Linked DNA regions of Mus musculus. The protein of the gene in region 1 interacts with the protein of each later gene in a pairwise test. Links are inferred from orthologs where the notes say so. Each region holds a gene or a part of one and is shown on either strand. Other genes may lie near its edges. The genes, in order: Pak2 and Rhoj.

Evidence for each region.
Region 2: the proteins of Pak2 (region 1) and Rhoj interact in binary tests that used the Homo sapiens proteins (3 or more experiments, as listed by UniProt). The two-hybrid records come from large-scale screens. The link is inferred for Mus musculus from reciprocal best matches to the Homo sapiens genes PAK2 and RHOJ.

The regions. Positions count from the first base shown.
Region 1 is NC_000082.6:32,069,963-32,080,303, forward strand, and holds the start of Pak2 (serine/threonine-protein kinase PAK 2), read right to left. Parts: upstream 9,381-10,341; 5' UTR 9,126-9,380; intron 9,090-9,125; exon of another isoform or gene 8,871-9,089; intron 1-8,870. UniProt on the Homo sapiens protein: Serine/threonine protein kinase that plays a role in a variety of different signaling pathways including cytoskeleton regulation, cell motility, cell cycle progression, apoptosis or proliferation.
Region 2 is NC_000078.6:75,303,632-75,313,972, forward strand, and holds the start of Rhoj (rho-related GTP-binding protein RhoJ), read left to right. Parts: upstream 1-4,681; 5' UTR 4,682-5,192; coding exon 5,193-5,370; intron 5,371-10,341.

The DNA.
Region 1 (10,341 bases):
ATCTCCCTTGTTTATATCTCCCTTGTTTTTATATCTCCCCCGAACCCTGGGCCTCTCACTCTTTTATACTCTCAGTTCTCATCCATGCACAGCAGGCCACGCCACCTCACCAGGCACGCAGCTTCAGCTAATCAGGGCAGCAGGGGCAAATCTCCACCAAATTGGATTCACCTGTATCCTGGTACACCTGTGCAGCTCTCAAGATGTTTGTGGCTTATATGAGGAAGTCAGGTGCAAGTCATACGACTTAGCTACAGTCCCTGGCGCCTTTAGGACTGCCGCCACACCTGCTCCTAACAACAGACCACACCCATATTCTGGTGCAAGTCTTTCTGATCACCCCTTCTCTTAACCCTCTCTTAGGCCTATTTAAGCTGTCTAAAAATAACCCTTCATTATCCTACTTTCCAGAAATAACCCTTCTAACATTTTCACACTAGAGTTAAATGACACTACTTAAGGATAAAGATTCTTGATTGATTGATTGATTGATTGATTCTTTCTTTCTTTCTTTCTTTCTTTCTTTCTTTCTTTCTTTCATTCTGGGCACTGTGTCTTTAATAATCAGCTCTTGGGAGGCAGAAGCAGGTGGGTCTTACTGAGTTCAAGGTCAGTTCCTGGTTTATAAGCTTTATAAGAGTTCCAGACTATAGGTGGAACAACACTATGAACTAACCAGTACCCTGGAGCTCTTGACTCTAGCTGCATATATATCAAAAGATGGCCTAGTCAGCCATGACTGGAAAGAGTGGCCCAATGGACTTGCAAACTTTATATGCCCCAGTACAGGGGAACGCCAGGGCCAAAAAGTGGGAGTGGGTGGGTAGGGGAATGGGGGGGAGGGTATGGGGGACTTTTGGGATAGCATTAAATGTAAATGAGGAAAATACCTAATTAAAAAAAATCTAAATAATATCTGCGGGTAGCTCAGAGAAAAAAAAATGGTGTTCAAAACAATATGAACTAACCAGTAACCCCAGAGCTCCTGTCTCTAGCTGCATATGTAGTAGAAGATGGCCTAGTCAGCCATCATTGGGAAGAGAGGCCCCTTGGTTTTGCAAACTTTATATGCCCCAGTACAGGGGAACCCAAGGGCCAAGAAGTGGGAGCTGGTGGGTAGGGGAGCAGGGTAGAGGGAGGGTATAGGGGACTTTCGGGATAGCGTTTGAAATGTAAATGAAGAAAATATCTAATAAAAAATTGGAAAAAAAAAGTTCCAGACTAGACAGAGTTATATAGTGAGACTGTTTGAAAAACAACAAAACACTAATGTATTTATTTTGTGCACAAGTTTGCTCGATATTAGGGTGAAGATTTAGTCCTGGTTTTGAGCACAGATCATGGCAAGGCTAACCAGAGCCAGTGAACACTGTGGGAAAAAGGCTCCTGATGGCACACACATTAGCCAGAAGTCACACCTGACTTTTAAAAATTAAGAAGGAATGTTCCAGGTATGCAAAGGAAACATCAAATGTAGATAAATTCTGCAATCCACATTGTGATACCATCTCTCCTCCTTGGCCTCCATCCAAGCTCCATCCTCTCAGAATAAAACATGACCAACAATGAATTTAAGTGAGAACACATAAGTAACAAAGATTACTAAAAACTAAAAAATGAACAAACACTTTGAAATCTAGCTTCCCTTAAGTTTGGTCAAACTCTAAACAGCAATTCAAATATAGGAAAGGAAAAAAAAAAAAACCAACACACACAAACAGAGGGTGAGAGAGGCAGTAAACACCTAAGCACAGCTTCATGCAGTAGCAAAGAGGAACAAATTGGGACAACACGACTCTCTCAAAAGGAATGCCCACACAGTCTAAAACAAAGTACTGTTTAACGGAGAATGAAGGTCAAGCCTGAGTTAACTAAGCAACATGTCTTTCTTCCTTTCTTTTGAATAGAACTCCCAGTCTTTCATCCCAGCCTCTGGCGTGCTGGGATTACAGGTTTGTGCTACCACTCCTGCAGTATACTATATTTTAACAATCCAGAATAAGCTGGAGAGATGGCTCAATGGTTCAAATGATGGGAGTGTTAGCATGAGGACCAGAGTCCAGATCCCTAGAACACGTTCCTATAAATGCCAGGTAAGGTGTTGACTTGCTGGAAATCCCAGATCCTAAGAAGGTGGACACACTGGGGGAACCCCCGAAGCAAGCTAGTTTACCAGACTAGCCCTACTGACAAGCTGTGTGTGGGGTTCAGCTAGAGATACTGACTCAACGGATAAGGGATCAGGGAAGACACCCTATGTCAACTTGGGACTTCCATACACATACAAGTACATATGTGCCCATGAGTGTTAGTGCTGTGTCTCTGTCCTGTCTCTGTCTCTCTCTCTGACACACACATACACAAAGCAAACACGGCAGGGAACGTAGCGCAGTGGTCAGAATGTGCTTCGAATACGCCATCTCAGGTTGGGTAAGGGGAGCAATCTAGTAAGTACAATCATCAAATATGAAAAGTCACGTTTTAGAGAAAAAAATTGTTTAAATATTTATTTTATTTTAATGTATATGTATGTCACTGTATGAGTGAACAACATGTAGATAAAGTGCCCATTGAGTCCAGAAGACGGTGTTAAATCTGGATGAGGGTTTTGGGACCCAAAGTTTAGGTCTTCTGAAAGAGCAACAAGCACTCTTTTTAAGACTGCTCTTCTGGCCGGGCGTGGTGGCTCACGCCTTTAATCCCAGCACTTGGAGGGCAGAGGCAGGCAGATTTCTGAGTTCGAGGCCAGCCTGGTCTACAGAGTGAGTTCCAGGACAGCCAGGGCTACACAGAGAAACCCTGTCTCGAAAAAAAAAAGGGGGGGGGGGATAAATAAATAATACAAAGACTGCTCTTCCAGAGGACCAGGGTTCAAGTCCCAGAATCCACAGCTCACAACTAACTGGAACTCCAAGATCTAACACCCTCACACAGACTGTTACATGCAGGCAAAACACCAATGTGCATAAAGTAAAAATAAATAAGCTGTTAAAAAAAAAAAAGAACCCCATCCCCAAAAAAGACAAAGTAAAGAAGGTAACTTCATAGAACATGGGTTCAATAAAATTTTTAAAATTATCTTTTACAACATATTTTTTAAACACCCATTTCAGAATAAAACCATAGCAGGTTATTCTTGAGAGTATGTAACCAAGACCAGGTTCCAACTCTCTATCCTTCTGCCTCAGCCTCCCAAGTACTGGGATTACAGGCATGTGTGCTATCCACCAGACTACATGCAACTTAAAAGAGAGAACAAAACCAAAATGCAAGAAAGACAAAGCTTAATAATATATTGAGTGAAAAAGGAACAGAGAAGTTTTAAAAACACAATCCAAGACAGAACAGAGCAAAATAGCACATACCTATAATGCTAGTTATCCCAGCACTAAGAGGGTGGCGAGACCAGGCCAGTAGGATCAAAAGTTCAAACTCATCCTCAGCTACATAGGGAGTTCTAGGTCAGCTTGGGCTACATGAGATTCCTCAAGAAGAAAATATGTGGACCACCAAACAGACGCATATACCAGCTGATATGAGATCCCTAACACACATACAGTAGAGGACTTCCAGGTCTGTGTTCCTTCAGAGATGATGCACCTAACCCTCAAGAGACTGGAGGCCCCAGGGAGTTTAGAGGTCAGGTGGGGTGGGGGGCTGGGGCATCCAGGTGGCAATGAGGTGGGGTGGGGAGAAGGTGTGGGATGTGGAGCAGTCGGAGGGTGGATAGGGAGGGGTGGGGAAATGTAATTTGGAGTGTAAAAAATGAATTACAAATAAAATTTAAAAAAAGAAGAAGAAGAAGAAGAAAATACCTGAGACTGGTGAGGTCGGTAAAGGTGCCTGATGCAAGCCTGACAGTTCATCCACAGAACCCACACGGGGAGAACTAGATTCTGCAAGGTGCCCTCTGATGCACTTGTGCCCCCACCAGAAACAAATACCAAAAATAAGTATAGATGCAAAAATATTAAATAAGACAACTATTTTACTGATAACATATGATCTATAAAAAAAAGATCTCAAAAAACGCAGAACCTACTTGTCACCAAACAATACTACATTATAAAGTCATCAGTTAAGTGAGTGAGGAGACAAGCCACAGACCAGTAGAATGTCCACAAAAAAGTTCCTGATATAAAAGACTATTACATGAAACACATACAAAGAACCCATTACCCAGTGACAGGAAAATGAACAACTCTATTAAGAATGGACAAAATAGCTCCTGAGACACCCTATCAAAGATGACATACAAATGGCACAGCAGCAAATGAAAAGATGTTCAACATTACACATCACTGTGAGATTTTAAGAAACAATGAACAAGCACATACTGCTGATACATGTTTTAGAAAAGATAAAATCTACATACTTGCAAGGATGTGGAACTCAAGAAAATATAGCTTTGAAAACTGTACTGAAGTTTCTCATGAAAATAAATGTATCACTGCCACAATCTAGCTCCTTAATTTAACCCCCTCAGTTGAAGAGTTAAGTCTTTATGAGAAGACATTCAATGTCGCTAGTAATTACGACAATGAAATATGTCATACACAGTAAGATGGCCACTATGAAAAAACTTAAACACAGCCAGAGGTGGCTGTGGTGGTGATGCACGCCTTTAATCCCAGCACTTGGGAGACATAGGCAGGCGGATTTCTGAGTTCGAGGCCAGCCTGGTCTACAAAGTGAGTTCCAGGACAGCCAGGGCTACACAGAGAAACCCTGGGGGTGGGAGGGGGTAGTTAGAAGTAAGCCTCTGTTTAGGGGGTGATTTTTTTCCCCTTGACTTTAATTCTTTTATTTGGTGTTCCTGAGACAGTGAGTATGTATGTAGCCTGGCTGACCTTGAACTCATGATGATCCCCATTTCTGAGCCATCCAAGTACTATGATTATAGGTTGAGCTACAATGGCCTATTTATCTTGATTTTAAAATTGGAAAAAAGAACCCTTGTATATTGATTTCCATATGCATAATATGGTGATGCCTCATCTTTCTTTTATTCATTTTTTAAAGATTTATTTATTTCATGTACGTAGGTACACTGTCACTGTCTTCAGACACAGCAGGAGAGGACATTGGATGCCCATTACAGATGGCTGTGAGCCACCATGTGGTTTCTGGGAATTGAACTCGGGACCTTCGGAAGAGCAGTCAGTGCTCTTAACCACTGAGCTACCTCTCCAGCCCCAATGCTTCATCTTTCTAACGGTTATGAGCTACTCTAGTATATGGTACTCTCATCTGTGCTCATTTATAATTCTCTAATTCTCACACTGCTGGTCACTGGAGAAGAGGGGATCTTTACTGAGAAGTCTCCATCAAATTGACGTGGAGGCATTTTCTTTAATGATTGATGAGGGAGGGCCCAGTCCACTGTGGACAATGCCACTCCTGGGCATGTGGTACCATGTTATATAAAAAGCGAGCTGAGCTAGCTAGCCGTAGACAGCAAGCCAATAAGCACTGCCCCGCCACGGTCTGTGCCTCAGTTCCCAGCAACAGGTTCTTGCCTGAGTTCCTGCCCTGACTTTCCTCAATGATACACTGACTATAAACTACTCTAAGATGAAATAAACTGGTTTTAGACATGGTGTTTATCACAGCAATAGAAAACAGACACAAAGCCATGGTCAAACAGACAGAAACCCTGGCTAAACTTAATGGATCTCAAAAAAAAATAAAAAAGACAAAACAACAACAAAAAAAGTCCATTACATATATCATAACCTATGATATATAGGTAAGTAAAGAGACTTGTAAGGGAGGGAGTCTGACAGATGGGAAGTTAAGGGTTACAATAATCAGAATTCCCTTCCCTAAATACATGTATGAAACTGACTCAAAGAACAAACTCAAAAAAAAAAAAAAAAAAGGTATCTTGCCCAAGACTAATTAGAAGAGCCAACATTCAAACTCAGGTCTCCAGCTCCTGGGACACACAGAGTAAGTTTCACTACACAAGACAGGAAAGAACTTTACAATACTGAATGAACGTCCAGGCTAATTACCAAACCAGGAAGTGGTGGTACACACCTTTAGTCCCAGCACTCAGGAGGCAGAGACAGGTGAATCTCTAAGTTTGAGGCCAGCCTGGTTTACAGAGTGAGTTCCAGGCAGCCAGGACTACAGAGAGAAACCCTGTCTCAAACAAAAAAAAAAAAAAAGAAAGAAAGAAAGAAAAGAAAAAAGAAAGAAAGGAAATGAAGCAGTGAGACTAATTTTGATCACAGAAAGCTATTTCGTGATTATAATTAAGGGACATTTTTATCTTCTCTCTCTGCTCTTAAAGAGGCTTAAAAAATAAAAAGGAAGGGCAGGCAGGAGAGGTGGCTCAGTCCAGCACCCAGCATCCTTGGCAGCTCTCAACTGTCTGCAACTCCAGTCCCAGGAATCTGACACCCTATATGGCCTTCATAGGCACCCACATGGTACATATACACACATGCAGGCAAAACACACTTACACATTTTTTTTTTTAAATCTTTAAAAAGTTAGGAATTTCACCTCCGAGAACTCAGAAGCACAGTCTGCAAGTAGCAACTCCCCTCTAATCAGACAACCATCAGTTACTTCTGTAACTAGCAGTGCTTGAGGAGAGAAAGGCCTGACCTAGTCTCAAGACTGGAACACAGTCCAATTTGAACCAAAGCCAGAAAACTGAAAGCACCGAGTACGGAACATTATTACTGTAATAACCAATACTGATGAAGATAGTAAGGATTCAGCCATAGCTACTAGTTTTATACTTGGCAATTATTTCAAGCTCCTGCATTTTGTAAAAGTATAACTCAGAGTTTATCTTTAGCTAACCAGAACAAGTTTTAAATTTCCTCATTTAAAACACGTAAAACTAGCCTTCATCATGTCTAGTTGGAAACTTGCCTATCATAAAAATCAAAGAAACACGAGAACCTTTTATCAGACATATATCAACTAAAAACTATCACTTCATGAATTTAGGTTTCAGGACACGGATCACAAAGCCCAGAAGAATTAATCTCTTTCTCTCAAAAGGTAAATCTGGAATCAAGGCCCCAAGATAAGTGAAATACCCAAGAATTCTCTTTTTAAAAACATGTCTGCTTGCCCAACACAATGGTAATCTCACTGGCTAGGATTCTGACGCAGATCTTAAGTCCAGAAGTTTGAAACAAACCTGGGTATCATAGAAAGAGGCTGTCTCCAAAGAAAAACAAACAAATACCTGCTTTTGGAAACAAATGAGATATTCTGCAGGCACAGGCTTGCAATCCCAGCTACTAGGGAGGTTGAGAAGAAAACCCCAGTTCAAGGCTTACCTGGTAGGGAAGAGATTCAATACCAGCCTGGGAAACAGTGAGACTGTCTGCACAGAGAAGAGAGGGCTGGGCTTGTAACTCAGTGCTGCAAAGAACACTTGCCTAGCATCACAGGGAGGTCTGCGGTTCAATCCGGTACAAGGGGTTAAAAAGGAGAAAGAAACAGCAGAAACTAACTTCAAGGTACTTTTTCATTCCCTGACATTCCTCCCTAGTGTCAAGACAACTCACTAACCTAAGAACAACCCACAGTACCAAAGGATGGCAGTACTTGATACTAATCCATTTCCCCCATAGCCTGGCAGAGGGAAAGGTAATAATGTACTAGTGAAAACAAGAAGAAAACATTTTTAATTTTGGGCAACCTCTTTTACCAAAACCCAAAAGTTACATTTTCTATCTATCTAAGCAACAATATAAAATTCAGTTTCCCTGATGTAAATGTACAATAGTGTTCCTGGCTAATTAATCTCTAGAAAGACCTAAAAAGAGAGGCTACCAAATATGTTGGCTAACACGTGTAATCCCAGCACACAAGGCTGAGACAGGAAGAGTGTCACAACAGCCTGAGCTGGAATGAGGCCCTGTCTAGGAAAGGCAGAGGATGGGTATAAAAGTATACGAAAAAGGCTTCCTTCACACACACACACACACACCCCAACTGAAGAACTGGGGTAGAGACAAGCAAGAATGTTCTACAAATGCCACAGAGCTTCTGGCAAAGTTGACGTGCCCTAACCTGTTTTAAAAATTACTACTCACTGCCTTCATCCCAACCTAATTTTATTCATACTATTCTTTTGGATAGCTCTACCAAAAAAAAAAAAAAAAAAATCCCCAGAGCAAATTCTTGTGTATTTATTTCAATATCCTGCCTACTTTATAAGAGCGGAAGAGTCGAATACAGCAGGGGAAAAACGTGACGTGCACAACCTTCACCCAAAACACAGCTCAGCTCGTCGTTGTCTAATTTTGGGCCTAACCGGTTTGGTTGTCTTTTTTTAAAAGGTTAGAAACGAAAAGCTGGAAAATCTACAGGTCACTTGTAAAGAAGAACCTGGCGGCTATCGATGGGAGTTGGTGATTTGTCAAAGAGGAAACAAATCTCACTTCCACTCTACCTAGTTCTATTAAGACAGGGGATGGAGAGAGCCTCCTTCCCATCAAGCCACAATGGCAATTATTTAACACACTTCTGTCTTGGACGACTTGATCTAGAACTAATCAAAAGGCTGAGTCCATTAAGTTATTTGCAGCAACTTTTTTTTTTTCTTGTGAGGGCGCGCGTGTTTCAGACAGCCAAACATGGTGAAAAGCCAACCTCAGCCCAAGTTAACCTTAAGAAGCAAATATTCACCTCCTGGCTAAAGATCAAGCAAAAACCGTAAGATCCTTAACTTCTGTTCTTAAACGCAGGCTCCCAGAGCCCGGCAAAAACTTTTTCCTAATGTGGAGGAGGAGGAAGAGTTTACACACTGAACTTAAGGAGCTCGCGACAGGATTCCCGAGCGACGAGACTGCAGAGAACGCAGCTGGTAAAGGAGGGAACATCCAGGAACAAACCCGAGTCGTCCGGTGCAGCGCCGGCGGGAGAGAAGGGCAAGGACGGCCGGAGTGGCCAGGGTCCCCACAGCCCAGCAAGCTTCCTCTCGGCCGAAGCTTAGAGCCAGGGCGCAGACAATGAGCCACCGCCCGGAGCCGCGGGCCCGCCCGCAGGTGCTGGCGTCCCGGGCCGCTGGGCCCAGGCCGCGGAGGCGGGAGGAGGGCGGCGGCTCGGCCCGGCCCGGCCCGGCCCGGGCGAGCGGCAACCGCACTTACCAGAGAGGAAAGGTCTCCGCCCGACCCAGGGCGGGCTGCTTGGCCGACGCGGGCGAGCACTGCGCTGGGGCGCTGAGAGGGAGGAGGGCAGGGCGGAGGGGAGCGGCGCGGGGCGCGGCCGTCGCTACCGAGGCCGTGAGGCGCAGAACCCCTTGGGCCAGGGAGGGGAGGGCAGGAGCCTTCGGCAATGGCGACGGCCCGGGCCGGAGGGGAAGCGGAACAACCGCTGCCGCTGCGCGTGGCCACAACCCTGGGGGAGGGCGGCGGCGGGGGCGCGGGGCGGGGCCGTAAGACAGCCCCGCCCTGAAAGTGGCGTCATGACCCGAGGGGCGGGCTTTCACAGGGCGGCTGGGAACCGTAGTCTAGTCATCTGTTAGGGAGACTCAGGACAGTGGGCGTTACAGAGAAAACCTGTCCCTCATTTATCAGCATTCTGCATTGTCTGCAGTTACGGTTTACCTACTGACAAAGCTGACGGAGAACAGCTGATCCAAACATATTTGTGTGTAGAGGGTCTTTGTTTCTGAGAATGTATCCATTCACCAATTGGTGTTTTGTGGGGAGGGATGGCTTTTCGAGTCCTGGCTGTCCTGGAACTCACTCTGTAGTCCAGGCTGACTTTGAACTAGAGATCCTCCTGCTTCTGCCTCCTGAAGAGGTACTGCCCAGCTCACTTTGTTTTTTGGTTTGGTTTGGTTTGGTTTGGTTTTTTGGAGGCAGGGTTTCTCTGTATAGCCCTGGCTGTCCTGGAACTCACTTTGAAGACCAGGCTGGCCTCGATTAAAGGAATGCGACGCCACCGCTTTTTTTTTTCCTACAAATTTAACCAGATTAAGTTGAATCAGATTATGCTGCTAAATTAGGTCCTCCCTCTTTGCAAAACAAAGATTTTTTTATTTTTCTGTATTTTATCAATGGAGGAGTTAATTCATGTATTCTTATTCCACAACTATGTCAATATCTAATATCTACAAAAGACCATTTAGGTACCAGAAATGAACATGCTTCACCTAGTCTTTGTAAAGGTTAAAAACATGAAAACGGTGGTGGCGCACGCCTTTAATCCCAGAACTCGGGAGGCAGAGGCAGGCAGATTTCTGAGTTCGAGGCCAGACTGGTCTACAGAGTGAGTTCCAGGAAAGCCAGGGCTATACAGAGAAACCCTGTCTCAGAAAAAAAACAACCAAAAAAACGTATGAAAACATAAAAACCAAAA
Region 2 (10,341 bases), on another chromosome or scaffold:
TACTGAGCTCCGGGGTTGCAGATGAACCTCCATGCCTATCTTGCCTTTACATGGATACTGAGGATCTGAACTCTGGTCCACATGCAGCAAGACCTTTCCCATAGAGCCATCTCTCCAGCCTATGATGTTGGGTTTTGGTCTGAGGAGGGGAAGGGAATTGTTTGTTTTGGTTGTTTTGAGGTGTTGTTGTTGTTCATTTGGTGGGGTGGTTTTGTGCTTTTGGTTTTGTTTCTTTGTGTGTTTGTTGTTTGTTGTTTTTCAGACATGGTCTCATGATATAGCCCAAGCTGGCCTCAGAGTTGTGTTCTTCCTCCCTCAGCCTCCCAGTGCTGGGATTGCAGGCATGTCACCTGATCATCTGGAGAGAGGGAATTTGAATGACCCCTAACCCAACGGATCTCATCTTTCCTTAAACAGATCGTAGTCCCACCCATGCCTCATTTACAATTAACCCAATTTCTCTCAAAATTATGAGATTACAGGGGGAAAAAAGTCCTCAAGATAGGGAAAAAATCCTTCTATATAATTTTTTTTAAAAAGCATATCCCAGAGACTTCGGCCGATAAGACACACCATGACATGGTACATGACATCGGCGATAACTGGAAGCTGAGCACAGTGACTCAAAAGATGCAGAACACAGACACATGAGCATCCCAGATGGAGATGACTCATCCCCCTTGGGAAGGGGCAGTTCCAGTCCAAGCTAGAACACTCTGTTCAGTGTTAGTGTCCTAGCCAGTCGAGGATATTTGGGTCAGAAGCCTTACAACTACAGAGTGTTGTTGTTCCCAATTCACATCTTCCCATCACTGTTAGAGACTGCTTAGCCTCTGAGAGAACTTTCTATGGAATGTAGGTGGCTAGAGACTTCTAGGTGCCCTCGAATAACCAGAATCATAACACACTGCACGTTTATAAACCTGGAATCAAAATACTGCCACAGAAAGACTGTCCCAGAATAAGATCTGACCCAGTTACACTACTTCCCTGTGCAACCTCTGGTAGGAAAACAAGGAAAGAAGTCAAGGTTCTTCCTTCTTTTAAAGTCACAAGAAAACTGGACTAAGTCAGATGAGTCAGAATTTATGCAAGATACGATGTGTGTGTGTGTGTGTGTGTGTGTGTGCGCGTGCGTGTGCGTGTGCGTGTGTGTGTGTGTGTGTAAGAGTGTGTGTGTATGTGAGTACATGTGAGACAGTGTGTAAGAGAGCCAAGGCGTGTGAGACAGAATGTGTATGTGAGTGTGTGTGTGTATGTGAGTGCATGTGAGTGTGAGAGTGTATGCATATGAAAGAGAATGTGTATGTGTGAGTGTGTGAGAGAGAAAAAGTGTGTATATGTAAGTGAATGCATGTCTGAGAGTGTGTATTTTGAAAGAGAGTGTGTGCATGTGTATAGTATATGTAACAGAGTTAGAAAGAGTGCATGTGTGATACAGAGTGAGTATATGTATGTGTGAGTGTGTGACTGTGTGTGTGTGTGTGTGTGAGTGTGAGTGTGACTGTGTGACTGTGTGTGTGTCTGTTTGAGCTGACATTTACAGAAATTCCTGTAAAACCAAAGCACAGTGAACAGGAATGAGCCAGGGGATTAAGGTCTGTTGGAAAAAGCAAAAAATATCACCCAACAAGATTTCACCATGTGCTGTTAAGTTTGGATAAACTTAGCGGTGAGGTAAACCAAATAATTAATGGTTTTGTAACCACCAGTCAATCATCTGCATGGCTCTAGACCCAAAAGTACAGACATCTGCCTACGAGCATGTTAGACAGCAGTCTTCATACCACTTCCAAACTCATATAGGCAAATGTTTAGAATGGAAGGACACTCTTGGTCATTCTACCTGGCCAACCATACACACCTCTATCGTTTCCTGAACCTGTAAGAACAATAGTAAAATTTTAAGATTCAGGTTCATGTAAGGGTTGTTGTTGTTGTCTCAGTCATCATTGCTGTTGCTTTAGACTTTCATTATGTTTGAGACAGGGTCTGACTATATAACCCTGACTGGCTTACATATAGTCAGGCTATAGACCAACTTTCCTTGAACTCAGAGATTCACCCCTTGAGTGCTGGACTTAAAGGAGTACCCCACCTGGCCCAGTTTTCATGGCAGTCTTGTTGTCTAAAGGTTTTAATATTAAAAATGATGTATTTTCATAGACAGTGTAATCCACTTAACAGTAAGTCTAAAATACTAAAATTTTATCTTCTTGTTATTTTTTAATAGAATACTCAAAACTTCCTTCTATAATTGTTACATTTTTGTTAAATGGTGATAAAACAACTTTATAGTGAGAAATACAGCCAACATTCTCCAGAGCTATAAGCCATTTGCCTTCCATATGTCTTCCAGCCTGGCATAAGTACCACTCCACAGATGAAGAGACACAGAACTAGCTTCTTGAAGTGTCTTAAAGGTCGCAGTACAAAGTCCGCATGACCATAAGAATGGACTTAACTGTCTGTGCCCCATGGTGCAAGATTTAGTTACACATGGAAATAGCAACCTCACCAAAAGCCTCTATAGCCGATATCTATAGTGTGCAGGTGTAGGTTCTGCCACTCTCAGCCTAAAGGCCAAGGAAGACCCTGCTCACAGCTCTGCCAACCACTGTATCATCACATTGTGCTCGGAAGATCCTGTTCACTTCCAAGCAGCAGGTTTGGGGGTCTTTTAAGTTTGGGGGAGAAGGGATGTTTGCACTGCCAATCAATCACCTTTTAACCTGCACAGGTTTGTGTGACTACCTCCTTCATCCTCAAAGCCTTCTATCAAAAGTATAACAGAAGTTTCTAAATTACAATTCCCTGCATACCCTGCGGTCCCCAGAAAGACTAACTGGAAATAAAATTACACCAACTACAGGCAACTGTGGGGGCCTTCACGTGCTTCACAACGGGGCTTCATATGATCCATTTACACTCCAAGTAGAGTCAAATAAGTGATCTCTGTCTGTCATTCAAGCTGTTCATCAGTGTGTGGTACTTCCCTCCCAGCTCAGGGTAGGATGATGCTTCTGACCCTTCAGTTGAGCCCCTATAAGCGTGCAACTTGTTCTGGCCAGGGAATGTTAGCAGAGGGTCACTTCCTAAAGAAAACAGAGCCAGAGTTTCTCCATGTCCATTTCCTCACCTGCCATGGTGTGCATGACAGTTCAATCAGCCCCAACCCTGAATAAAAAGAACAATGCTGTATACAAGATACACAGGAGGGGGGGAGGGGGAGGGGGAGGAGAAAAAGGAGGGAGGAGAAAAGGGAAGAGGAAGAGGAAAAGGAGGTGGAGGAGAAGGAAACGGAGGGTGCAGAGGAGAAGGAGGGGAGGAGAAGGGGAGGAGAAAAAGGAGGAGGAAAGGAAGGAAGGAGGAAAAGAAGAGGGAAGAGGAAAAGGAGGAGGAAGAAGAAGAAAGAAAGAGAGAGAGAGAGAGAGAGAGAAAGAAAGAAAGAAAGAACGAAAGGAAGGAAGGAAGGAAGGAAGGAAGGAAGGAAGGAAGGAAGGAAGGAAGGAAGAAAGAGAAAGTTATTTCGAATTCTGAACTTTGGGGATTATTGTTATGGTAACATAACATCCCTGATACACTCTATACCTAATTGAAATGTTTTTCTTTCATAGGAAAGAAATGTTGGGGCACCAAGCATCATGGCAAGTTTTACTCTATTCAAAACAGAAGAGGTGTGGACTCTGTACCTTGACAGCATGCACATGAGTTGTAGGTACCTAAGTTACTGACAGTCACTAAAGCTGACTTTTCCCCGTCCCGGCCACAGTGAAACCGCTCAAAGCCCTTAGATAATCTGCAATCTTCAAAATCTCATAGGAAAGCAAAGGGTTTTTTTTACTTTAACCCATTCGTCAAAATCATTTGTAGGTTCACGTTGTCCATTATCAAATGGGGCTTCGTTCTCAGGCACCAAACTGGCTGCTATGCGCCTGTGTCATTGAGGAGAGCTGGGCCTACCCAGGGGGAGATGATTCGAAGAAAAGGAGAAGCCTCTATGCATACACAGCATTAGAGACTCTAACCAAGCCAAAAGGCCACACTATGTGCCTCTCTCTCTCACTTCCAAAAGTGTGAGTCCTGAGCTCAGCATATCTGATTGAGCCCAATATCTGATTGATTTCCTCTGTTTAAAAAAAAATCATTGGGGTTGTTTTGGGGAGTCTGAAATGTATATTTGAGCATTGTGCTCAAACACAGACTTGTAAACTTGGTCACTCATAATATACCTACAACCTGCACAACGTTCCCCCCTCTTCAAAATCGTGTGACTCTGGAAGATTTCCTTCCTTGTTGCGGAAAAGAATTGCTTGAGATTCTCGTTTAAGGGAAAAAAAAACTGTCGATTTGAACTGGTGAGTCAGGGAGGGAGGATGACGTCATATGTTAGCCTGCAATCCCTATGAGGTCCTCTCAGCTCCCTCAAGCTCTCAAACTCAGTCCTCTCCCTAGTTTCCGCGGCAGACACTGCTCCCCGGGTTCCATCCTTTCTTCTTTGGCTTCTTCCCAGCCACAAGCCAGCAGCCTGGCTAGCTAGCAGGGGATAAAGCAGGAAGTTTGACAGCTTAAGCTGGCTGCAGGACCCCTAGTGTTTTCCCCTCTCCGTGTCCTGGCCTGGTTCCCCAGAAGTCCAAACACACGCACAGAGCCCCATTGTTGCCGCCTTCCCCGGCCCACTGATCCTAATATGGAATGCAGCAGGAAACCCACGATTTCCTGACACTCGGCAAGCTGGAGGAAGCGAGGGGGGGGAAACTCCGTTTAAAAGCCCTTCTCTCCTCCATATTAGTTGTGTGGTGGAAAACCGGGCAGGAGTTATCCAAATCCCACCGTGTCATTAGCCAGGCTGGGGATGGGGAGGGTAGAGTGAGATTCTCACGGGCTGCTGATATTTCTAGACTGCCAGGAAGTCCCGGGAAGTCTATGGACATGAGAGTTTCTTAACTCCAGCTCTACCCCCAACTCCACTTCTCCGTTGGGATTGGGAGAAAGGGACAGACCCTTTTCATCCCTCCTCCCAAGAGTGCCTTCCTTCTCCAGCATGGTGAGCTGCGGGGCTCGAGTGTGTCTGGGCTGTGCCTGGGAGAGCCCGGCCAGCCAGAGTCAGGCCGCCTGAGCTCCAGCCTGGGGCCGGTGCCACCGCTCCATGCACTGCAGAAGCCCCAGCAGCTGCTGCGGGAGCCGCCAACATGAGCTGCAGAGAGAGGACCGACAGCAGCTGCGGCTGCAATGGACATGAGGAGAACAGGATCCTGAAGTGCGTGGTGGTCGGGGACGGCGCGGTGGGGAAGACCTGCTTGCTGATGAGCTACGCCAACGACGCCTTCCCAGAGGAATACGTGCCCACTGTGTTTGACCACTACGCAGGTAGGAAAGCGTGGGGACCAACTCCGTCTAGATGAGCGGTGGGGTTCTGGGCACAGCTACCTAGCGTTCAGAGGGACCTGGCTTTCGCCAGAAAGTCACAGACTGATGTGGATCTGGCAGGTACCAGGTAACTCCATCAAGAATGGTGCTAGGATCCTGCGGAGACCCTGTACATCCATTCACATGCTTCTCCTATTGAAACAAATGTGCAATCCTGGGGAAATATCCTCCAGAAATGTTTCTCAACATTTTTGCCTAAACTTTCTTCAACTTTTCACGGTAATTATTTTTTTTTGAAGTGTAGTGTATTGCAAAATATTCCATTTTAAAAAAATCACCGCTAGACACATGGAAAGTGTTCTACTCTCTAAACTTTTTCTACTCCATGCTAGTCATGATCAAACGGCTAATAGAACCAGCTAATAAAACCTTCTTTTTTTTTTTTCCTGGATTACTTGGGGCTTAAATTTTGTACTTTCACTCTTCTGGGATGGTAGATAAGGAGAAAAGTGTCCCACGCTTTTAAATACTAAGTGGAAAATTAAGTAAAAGATGGCTATGTTTTTTAAAGTAAAAAATTCAAATGCAATTAAATCGTTTTCAACTATGTCCTGAAAAGACAAATTTGAGTATCTAGTATTTTAAACCGTGATCACCCCGATGCTGTAGTCACAACTTAATCCTTTCAGGGGAGTTTTAGTGTTTGAGGGTTTGAAGGTTTGTGGTGATGTCAGTCAGCATCATGCCTTGTTTCTTGACATAGCTGCCACCCCTAAGCTTCCCCTATGTGAACTGACCCGTTGCCTTGGACTTACTGTGGCCTCAGTTTTATAGTGCTTTTGAACACTTCGATCGATTGCCCTTGAGTTATCAGAGCTCTGGGGTCTGGTGGAAGGGAAATGTCTCTCTCTTCACCTTGGCTTGGGATCAGGATCAGCCTAAAGGAAGCCCTCACAGGAAGTCAGCCTGGAGCTCTGCTGTGTGGCCATTTGAAATCCTCCCTCCATAGGAAGCAGACGCTTGTCATCCTCTCTGGAGGGCTCCCCCCACCCCCATCTTCCCTTCCTTTTAAGTGGACCTATTTGCAGCAGTGGTACACAGCTGACAGGGGAGGGATTCGCAGCTGGCAAGGGCGTCCATTTCCTATTAGGTCTTTCACTCTGTAGAAATTACCTAGAAATTTGAAGACCAAATTCCTGAGCTTTTCTGAAAACATAGTGAGTTTGGCCAAGGAAGAACTTTTTAATGAGAACACAAAAAGACAAAAAGAGGTTTATCTTGAGGGGGAAAAATGTTGTAAAGTGCTTTGAGGAAGGGACTCTAATTCCGGTCCTGAAAAACATCATAGCAGAAATTATTTCTCCTGTGTCTTCTTCATGCTTGACAGGAAGGTGGCAAGTACTTTATTTCAGGAACTTTCTGATCAAAGACAGAACCGAAAATCTACTAAAAGGAAAGGCTCTTAGTGCCTGGGAAATTATGTCTCCAGATACCCGTCCTTCGGGTGAGCCAATCGAAGTGGTGTTGGGAAGAAAGACAAAACCATCTTTGGAAATAAAGCTAGCCTATGATGGAAAAAAACATTAGAGGTCAAACCAGCTGGACTTTGCTGGCACTGGGTTACTTTATGTTTCAATTATATGCACACTGGCTGGTGGTTGAGCACCAAAACCTCTCAAAGAAGTTTTAATACTTGAGTTTTTCAGGAACTAAACTGTATAATTTCAGCTTCCAAGAACTCACAGCCCCGAAACTCAGAGCAGTACTTTGTACACAGTAGACATTCCTGAACATGGTGACTTCCGTTTATTCTATATACTTCTTTCATACATGATATCTCACGTGCTATCCATGTGGTTAAAGCAGGGAAAGGCGTGAGCCACGCTCACACGAGAGACTCTTGAGTGCTGATTTCTATCCCAAGGACCCAGCCCTGCTCATACTTGCTCTGGCCGAGCATCAGCCCGTGGGCGGCCATCAGGGAGCAGATCAGTTCTAAAATAACCAAACGCCCCCTTTCGCATCTGGATCCAGTTTTCAGTTCCCTGGGTCCTACTGACCCACTCTGATAGAACAACAGGAAACACATCTGCCGTGTCTTTTGAAAAAAAAAAAACTGCAGTTGAAATCAAAGACAGCCTGTCTCTTAAAGATAGTTCACGAATGATGGTCCACGCCAGGAAAGTATGTAATGTAGTAGGACTGAGTACAACAATACCACATGACCTGGCTCTAATACTGCCTTCTCTGTCACTTACTCTGTGGCCTTGAGAAAGTTACTGAACCTCTTTGTGCCTCAGTTCTGAAAGGTAAAACCAGGGACCGTAAAGATATTGGAATTGTTTTTAAAAGTGAAATGAATTCATTCATATGTGTAAAGTTCTAGACCCCCAACACACAATGTTAGATGTGGGGGGGGCACATATCACATCAAAGTCTATACAAATAATACATACAGTGATTAAATCAAATTAAAATGTTACTAAAAGAGAAGAACTACAACCGGAGATAGAGGAGTATCCTGTAATGAAAGTACGGGGCAGGATAGGATGTATTATTGTCCTTATAAAATAGCCATCATGGAGGTAAGACCCAATGGCCCTGGCTATAGTAGTCACGGGATGTTAACGTAAGAGGTAAAAATACAAAAGTGATAGCAGAAAAAAAAACTGTAAAAAAAAAAAAAAAAAGGTTGAGGTTTTATTACTCCTGATTTGCCTGTCCTTCCAACCTACCAGAATCCCAAACTACCAGAATCCAAAAAAGCACACCAGTATACTAATTCTATATGGCGTTCCTGAATTGTCTGAGGAGGGTCCTTGATCTGTGTCCAGTCACCTCCAGAAATGTGTTTACGTCTCTAGGCGCAGTCCGCACCACCCTGTCATATTTTACTTCCTTACTCCCACCCCCGACCCCCGCAACCCCCTCTGTGCTGAGACTCCTTAAAGGAAGGTCATCTCCTGCCACATCTAGCTGGCATCTTGCCCCAGAGATGCTTTGATGGTTCGTGACTCTCCTTAAAACACATTCCTAGCTTGGCTTCTGAAGCACTTCCTCCCTTTACTGTCCCACCCCCTGGCAACGCTCTCCCCCATCTCCCAGTGGTAACAGTTCAGTCGTCAGTCCCTCGGCTCACTTCTCTGGTGAACCTTGGAACCTGGGTGTTAGTATCTACTTTCACAGCTTAAGATGCCATTGCTATACCACCAATTTCGTATTTGCATCTGCCGCCCCTCCCCAACAGCCTCAGAACACTCATCTGTATAACTGTACACATCCATTTATGTATCTAACAGGCCTCTCCAGCCAATGCTTCTTCAAGTCTCCCATCCACTCTTCCACCTCCCTTCCTCTCCATGTAAGAGCACTGCTGGTTTCTTCTGCCCAGTGACTGAGAACAAACACCAGTATCACCCATGACCCCTTGCTCCCTTTGATCCCTCCTCTTCCTCTCCATTCAAACAATTAGTTATCATCCCTTGCTCGTACATATGAGCTCAGCATTCACAGTGCACCAAGAACCAACCTTTGCCACTTGTCAGGACCTTTTATAGCCTTTTCTCCTATCCACACCACCATCATCTCTCATCCACACCAGCATAGTGGCCTCCCAACTCCCTCTTCTAACCCTGCCCACTGTGAGTCTCCACCCAGCTGACACAGAGCCATCCACAGTCCCAGCACCCCCATCCTTTCCTCCCAAACACATACTCCTCCTTTGCCACAGTGTACAAGGTCCTCTGACTTTGTCCCTGTTTTCTCTCTTCTAGTCCTCTATCAATTTTCTCGGTATTTCTTCTGTAACCACAGTAGCCCATCTTGCTATTTCTCATGGAAGACTCCTTAAATATGTGACATTCACTCTTACCCTGGCCCGACACTCCCTGCCCATATCTGACATAGTATTAATTGGCCACATAATTTAATCCATGTGTCTGTGCCATGTGTCTGTTCCTGTGTCCCCACACACACACACACACACACATACTCATACATGTGCATGTTCAAGTAAACACACACATACACATATACACGTGAGAGAGAGAGAGAGGGAGAGAGGGAGAGAGAGAGGGGGGGGAGAGGGAGAGAAGGAGAGGAGAGAGAGACCTCTTTTTCTGCTATACCGTCCTTGACCATATTTAATACTACTTAATGTTGTCTGTTTATTTCCTACCTTCAGCTTCTCAAAGCAGAGCTTGGGACATATTAGACTCTCAGTAGATGATCACTGAGTGACATGATTCTAAGCATTCACCTTCTTGTTCTCTCCAGCATTCGAGTCATCTCTAGTCCACTAAAGCTTTGGTGAACAGTACTAAAGGCATGGTTCTGTAGTAGAAGCCTTGCCACACATGCTCAGGCCTCAGTACCTGATCTTGTACTTGATCCCAAGCACCGGAAAAAAATAAAACTTTGACAAATATATAATGCCAGTCTAATATATATTTCTTTAAGAATGAACATATGAAACTATTTGTTATATGTATTCTATCTTGTAGGGTTTTTTGTTTTGTTTTGTTTTATATTCTATACAATCATCTCTCCTACTGAAGCTATAATACAGTAATAATTATCTTGACCTCAGTGGACATTGTGACAACTATCGAATAGTGTCGCTCTACAGTGTATACATGTCACCCGATTTCCTCCACCTGTGTTACACTCAAAGCTAGACTGCACTTGGTGTAATGCACTCAAACAGTTGTACTTCTTATAAACAGAGCATATACAAGAATAACCCAAGTTCCACTGAAGGTTAGGACTCCAGAGTTGGAGCATCAGGATAAAGGTAGAAAGGGTAAATGGCGTATGTTATGAGGCTCTAAAAGCACCATTGGACACTGCTTCCGAAGCCCATCCAAGGATTCCTTAAAATCCCCTAACAGCCTCTGGGTTGTTGAGTTTAGCATACAACAAGAGCATATCTTCTTGTTCTTCAATTTTGTGACCAACCCCTTACTGATAAAA